Arabidopsis thaliana: one gene and its partner. The protein of the gene in region 1 purifies or fractionates together with the protein of each later gene. This does not show direct contact. Each region holds a gene or a part of one and is shown on either strand. Other genes may lie near its edges.

Evidence for each region.
Region 2: the proteins of CRR41 (region 1) and ndhI purify together in Arabidopsis thaliana (affinity purification with mass spectrometry, with the first as the bait; one study listed by BioGRID). This does not show direct contact.

The regions. Positions count from the first base shown.
Region 1 is NC_003070.9:18,932,180-18,935,992, reverse strand, and holds CRR41 (potassium/sodium hyperpolarization-activated cyclic nucleotide-gated channel protein), read right to left. Parts: upstream 1,695-3,813; 5' UTR 1,652-1,694; coding exon 1,016-1,651; 3' UTR 694-1,015; downstream 1-693. Other genes in the region: AT1G51110 (Plastid-lipid associated protein PAP / fibrillin family protein), read right to left, coding at 11-85, 197-250, 320-613; AT1G51090 (Heavy metal transport/detoxification superfamily protein), read right to left, coding at 2,246-2,667, 2,790-2,871, 2,997-3,008. UniProt on the Arabidopsis thaliana protein: Required for both formation and activity of the chloroplast NAD(P)H dehydrogenase (NDH) complex of the photosynthetic electron transport chain.
Region 2 is NC_000932.1:118,510-121,583, reverse strand, and holds ndhI (NADH dehydrogenase subunit I), read left to right. Parts: upstream 1-1,821; coding exon 1,822-2,340; downstream 2,341-3,074. Other genes in the region: ndhA (NADH dehydrogenase subunit 1), read left to right, coding at 1-127, 1,208-1,737; ndhG (NADH dehydrogenase subunit 6), read left to right, coding at 2,677-3,074. UniProt on the Arabidopsis thaliana protein: NDH shuttles electrons from NAD(P)H:plastoquinone, via FMN and iron-sulfur (Fe-S) centers, to quinones in the photosynthetic chain and possibly in a chloroplast respiratory chain.

The DNA of each region.
Region 1 (3,813 bases):
AAGAACTGACTTGGATTGGAGATGCAGTTCCAGGTCTTGTGGTGAACATCAATCGCCAACGACCTTCGATTAGGTCAGAATCTGTCTAAACATTTAAACAACATTCCCCAAAAGACAACCAAATGAGTCAAAGAACAAAACATAACAGAATTTGGTAATTTGAAGATAAAAGGATTCACAAGAAAACATTTCATACAGGATTTTGAATGCCTTCTAAACCTTCAAGAACTTTCACAGCAGATTCAACATCCTACAACAGAGAATCTCTCAAATCATAAACACGACGGAAAATTAAAGAAAGTTTAAAGTTTTTACACACATTGAGCTGTTTAGGAGAAGCAGATTTGCCACGGCCTTGAATTCCGATCAAAGCGTCAATGAGTTTCAACTCAGCATCATTAAAAGACGATTGTTGAGTTTGGTCAGTGACAGTAGATGAAGATGAACAACTGATTCGCAGAGTTCTACAGTTTCTAGACAAACCTAGTCTCCTGCTTGTTGTGTTAAGAAGATTGAATCTCGGAGAACACAATGAAAGAGAAATCGGCGATGATGGGCATGGACATAAACATGGTAGCGACATCTCTACAGCGTAGAATCTGACTGCCACCATTGTTGCTGTCTACTGCTGCTTGTGAAGCTTTTGTTAAAATGATTAAACTTTGCATTTTTAATGTGTGGTGTACAATAAAGCTTGAGTCTTGGTGAAATATCTTGAAATATGAAACTAGTGGAAGTAAAATTTTCTCAACTAATTAAGTTTTTTCCTCCCAAAAACCCTTAAGCTTCCTCACAAATTGCAAAACCAAAAGCATGAATCTTTGTTTTGATTCTTCACATGAGACTCTCATCTTCAATCCTTCTTCTACCATTAAAGTAACAGATGAATGATCCAGAGATGATTACAGAACCAAAAAAATAAGATCTTTTACAGATGAAGAAGCTCTGTTTTGTGTAAAACTATAAACAAAATTCATAGACTTTTGACTCAATTTGCAAGTAGAAGAAGAAGGAATTAGAAAGAATTAGCAACAAGAATAGCTTGTCGACACCGAGCTCTAGCTTGTTCAATCCTCTGACTCAAAGTTTCATCTTTAACAGAAGCTTTAACCATAGCTAAATCCATCTCCATCAATTTCAAAACCCTAAAAAGCTCTGTAACCATTCTCTCTTCAACTTTACCTTCATCTCTCAAAACCTCAGCTTCTTCTCTAGCTCTCTCTGCAACAATCTCACCAGCTTTAGCTAAAAGCTCCTTTGATCCAAACTCTCTCGCCATTAAAGCTTCGAACTTTTCTAAGAAATCCATTATTACATAACCTTTAGGTTTCTCCAAGTTTATCTCTTTTGTTCTTTTCCAACCGATTTCGAAGTTTGGTGGCTCTGGTTTCTCGATTCCTCTTTGTGTTCTGTCTCGTATGATCTCTGATCTTCTTCGTTTCTCTATTGGGAATTTCTCTGCGCTTGTTGTGTTGATTGATTCAGGTGCTGGTGTGAGATTGATGAATTGATCCTTTGACTCTGGATTCGACGAACATTTTGTTGAGAACTTTGTTGTTCGACGAACGAAGCTATTGGTTCTTATTGGGACTGCGATGTGAAGATTCTTAGAGGAGAGAGATGGAAGAAGAAGTGTGGAAGTGGAAGCCATTGATTTAAAAAGCTTAGAGGAAGAGTGTTAAAGAGGGTTTTGAGAATTGGAGAAAGATAAGGCCTTCTCTGGAGTTACAGTACACTATAGCGTCGTTTAAGTGTTTCAGACAAGAACGTCACGTCGTTTTTAGTTTCCGTTTAAACGGTGTCGTGTGGAGGTGTAAGCACCACGGCTGCTCTTTTCACAGTAGAAAGAAACAGTGTCATCTGTGGATAAGTAAACTGTAAAAACATAATAGTTGAGTATTCATCGACTCATGTCACTCATTGGAGAGGCCGGTCTCAGAGTTTTTAGTTTCCATTCTTTCGTGCTAATATACTTTTATTTTCTAACAGAAACTATATTTTTATGCGAAAAATCTTACTATTTGTATTTTACTACCAAGAAAAGAAGAGCAAATAAAAGTTGTATTAGAACCAAAACGTGATATACACAAGAAACAAAACCCTGTAGTGTTTACATACATAAACGAGGACTCGAAATAGAAATACTGGTAAGACGAAGACAATTAAAAATAACTTCGTGTAGTTATTTATTTGCTGGTATATACTATAGTCTATATATGAGTAGGAGGAGACTTGGTTCAGTGTTTCACATGATGGAGCATCCTTGAGAGTTCATATCTTCGTGGCAACATTGTCGTCCACCTCCCCAGCTCTCGTAAACGGGCCTTCCATAACATTGGTACTGTTGGGCCTCGTAATACGGCCCACAATGATACGGCTGCCACATCGGCATCGGTTGAGGAGCGGAAGACGAAACAAGAACAGGAACCGGAGCCGGCCGAACAAGAGCTGGGGCTTGGGCTTGGGCTGGGGCTGGGGCTGGGGCAGTAGGCTTCTGAGGTGGTTGAGGCTGGGGTTGAGGCGGTTTGGGTGGCTCAAGGATCACGATGGACTTGATAGAACCGTCTCCTTTGTAGCAAAGTTTGTTCATTAGCCTCTCAGGATCGTAACAAACTACTTTGATGATGATCGTGTTGGACTTCTCATCAAACAATTCGTCTGTTATTTCTATTTTTTTTTGCAAAACAACACATACCACAAAATCGTATCCATTTATCAAGATTCAGAATCTTCTCAACCCGCAATAATTCAAATGAACAAAGAAACTCAAATTAAAGAAAGAAACTCACGAGGGAATTTGCGGATAGCTTTCTTGACCTTTTTGTAGCATTTGGAACAGTTTAGATCCACTTTCAATTTCATCATCACTACCTGTTTGTGCATATCATATAATTTCATGATCATTATTACCTTAATTAGTAACTCTATTAGAGGGTAATTATGGATATGATCAATAAAAGAGAAGTAATATGAAAATTCAGATCTTGGTAAAGTACCTTCTCCGCCATAGCTTGGGAGTCTTGCTTGAGTCACCAAACAAGTACAAGAACACAAGTATTTTATGTGTATTCCTTGCATGATTCAATATATATAGAAAGTGATATAAAGAGAGACTTAAAATGAGAACAAGAAAGAAAAAGTTTATTATTTCTTTCGGTTTTATCAAATGAAAATATCTAATTTTGTATCTAAAATGACGTGTATGAATTTATGAAACACGGTGTATCACACATAATTTCGAAGTTTCTGAAGGTGACGCCGACATCAATTACGCACACAGCTGAGAATTACCAAAACGGGCTCACATTAGTCAGTGCACGACCACAGTTCAAGTGCTTATAGTGGTCCAAGTTTTCTAATAATTTTGGGTTATTCTTCTGTGGTGCGAAATAATGAGCCGACATGGATGAAATGGTTGTAAAAGGACTGTCTGAATTTGATGTTTCCTTTAAGACTCTACCAATCAACTAAAAAAAATCAGTGACTCGTATTTGTATATCAAACAAGAAAAGAACAATAGGACGACAAATTGATAGAATCCAATTTTCTTATCTGAAAAAAATGAAGAGAAAATGTAATGCGAATCTTATAATCAATCGTGAGATCCGTCCTCAGATATTTCTGGATTTTACATGTCCTAATTCCTGATTTTTACTCTCATATTTTCTAACCTTATATTCCACTGGCGAAACTATAAGTAACATTGGAAAAGTGAGTAAATCCAAAACAAATGGATTCAAGTTCAAAATAGTTTAATCATGTATATATAAAAATAAGGTCTCATTTTTAACAACCAATTTTTCAAAAATAAAA
Region 2 (3,074 bases), on another chromosome or scaffold:
ATTGGACTTCTTATGTCAGGATATGGATCAAATAATAAATATTCTTTTTTAGGTGGTCTGCGAGCTGCTGCCCAATCGATTAGTTATGAAATACCATTAACTCTATGTGTTTTATCAATATCTCTACGTGCGATTCGTTGAAACAGAAACGTTTATTTTTACTATTCCGTTTCTTCTAGACGAATCAGTTAAAAAACGGAATATATATTTATCTTTCGAATTAATCGAAATAATTAATAAAAGGAATTTGATAGTTATATATGAGTGAAAAAAAAACTGCTCTGAAATTTGCAGTAAAACGAAAAATGAGTCTCATTTCCTATGTACAAAGGTTAAACGGAAATAAACATAAGTGTAAGAATCACTTTACCCCAAGGTTGGTTGATTAGTCATCCTGACTTGAAGCGGGTTAAATATATTAACCGGTAACCGGATGACGTTTTCACTATCAGTTATATAGATTAACATACATGTATTACAAAGTGAGCGGCAATTAGGTAAAAGTGAGTGGATGGTTAGAAACACCAAAATACACAAAGAATTTGTAATAGAGATTAACCAAATTGAAAAGGATATTTAGGCCTAACATAAGATAAAAAAAAGAAGGTTAATTGGGGCTTTAAATTAGTAGAAATGATCAGACAGTACTCCCCAAGATTCCGATTCAGAGTATGCTCCTATCCACCGACAAATGTAATGACTATCAGAAACGAAATAATCCTTTATTTTTTATAAGTCTACCAACTTTTTTCTAAAAAAGAAAGAAGAATAGGAACGAAACAAGGCTCTTTTTTTTTTCATATATTTCGAAAATAAAATCGAATTTCTGTCATGAATAATAAAAAAATAGGATGTCTAATTATTTTTCGTAATCGAAAACCACGATGGGCTTAAATACTTTTTTTTTTTAGGAGTTTTTTATTAAAGGGTTAAGTTATTACTCAACAAATAGAAATTCAAATTTGTAAAGGGGTGAGATGAATTCCGAAGCGCGTTTTTTATTCTTAGAATTTGAGCAGACAGAATTCCATTGGTATAATTCGGGACCCCAGATATATTTAATCCATTTTAGAACACATCATATCCATCTAAATTATAATCTGGTCCTTAGATTTATTTATGGCCCCCGAGGAGCCGTATGAGGCCAAGACCTCATGTACGGTTCTGAAATAGCGGTGAAAATAGTAATGTTCTCGCCGACTAGGATTATCTAACAGTTTAAGTACAGTTGATATAGTTGAGGCACAATCAAAATATGGTTTTTGGGGATGGAATTTGTGGCGTCAACCTATAGGTTTTATCATTTTTCTAATTTCTTCCCTAGCAGAATGCGAGAGGTTACCGTTTGATTTACCAGAAGCGGAAGAAGAATTAATAGCAGGTTATCAAACTGAATATTCAGGTATAAAATTTGGTTTATTTTACGTTGCTTCTTATCTAAATCTATTAATTTCCTCATTATTTGTAACAGTTCTATACTTAGGCGGTTGGAATATTTCTATTCCGTATATATCTATTCTGGAGCTATTTCAAAGGGATCAAATTTTTGGAACAACAATTGGTATCTTTATTACATTAGCTAAAACTTATTTGTTTTTGTTCGTTTCTATCGCAACAAGATGGACTTTACCTAGGCTAAGAATGGATCAACTATTAAATCTTGGATGGAAATTTCTTTTACCTATTTCCCTTGGTAATCTATTATTAACCACTTCTTTCCAACTCTTTTCACTCTAAATTTAAAATGAATCTAATATATTCATTATTTGTTTTAAACAAGAGACAGAAACAAAGATAAAATTATTCAGAGATAATTACAATATGCTTCCTATGATAACCGGGTTCATGAATTATGGTCAACAAACCCTACGAGCTGCAAGGTATATTGGTCAAGGTTTCATGATTACCTTATCCCACACAAATCGTTTACCTGTAACTATTCAATATCCCTATGAAAAATTAATAACATCGGAACGTTTCCGCGGTCGAATCCATTTTGAATTTGATAAATGCATTGCTTGTGAAGTATGTGTTCGAGTATGTCCTATAGATTTGCCTGTTGTTGATTGGAAATTGGAAACTAATATTCGAAAAAAACGATTGCTTAATTACAGTATTGATTTTGGAATTTGTATATTTTGTGGTAATTGTGTTGAGTATTGTCCAACAAATTGTTTGTCAATGACTGAAGAATATGAATTTTCCACTTATGATCGTCACGAATTGAATTATAATCAAATAGCTTTGGGTCGTTTACCAATGTCAGTAATTGACGATTACACTATTCGAACAATTTGGAATTCACCTCAAACAAAAAATGGGGTAAACCCTTTAATTTGATTAAAAAAAGAATTCCAAGTTGTTGAATTATATTTATATAAAGAATTTAATTAAAAACTTGTATTGTATTTATATAATAATAATAATATTAAGTATTAAGGCACATTCTTTTAATATAATATATTCGTAATTACTTTCTTGAAATTGATAGGTTGAAAATACACTTTAGAAAAAAAAAAAGAGAAAACAGCCTAATACTAATAATTGTATCTACATCAATTCATATCCATTAGATTCTAATTTCACTCTATTTAGAAACATATAAAAAACAAATTTCCTGGTTAAATTAATAAGGTCATGAAAAGGATTTCGATTTTTTCTTATTTTAATAATATAATGGATTTGCCTGGACCAATACATGATTTTCTTTTAGTTTTTCTGGGATCCGGTCTTCTAGTAGGGGGTCTGGGAGTGGTATTACTTCCCAACCCAATATTTTCAGCCTTTTCCTTAGGATTTGTTCTTGTTTGTATATCTTTATTGTATATTCTATCAAATTCCCATTTTGTAGCTGCTGCACAACTCCTTATTTATGTGGGGGCCATAAATGTTTTAATCATATTTGCTGTGATGTTCATGAATGATTCAGAATATTCCACAGATTTCAATCTGTGGACCATTGGGAATGGGATTACTTCGTTGGTTTGTACAACTATTCTTTTTTTATTAATGTCTACTATTCTCGATACGTCATGGTACGGGGTTATTTGGACTACAAAATTAAACCAGATTCT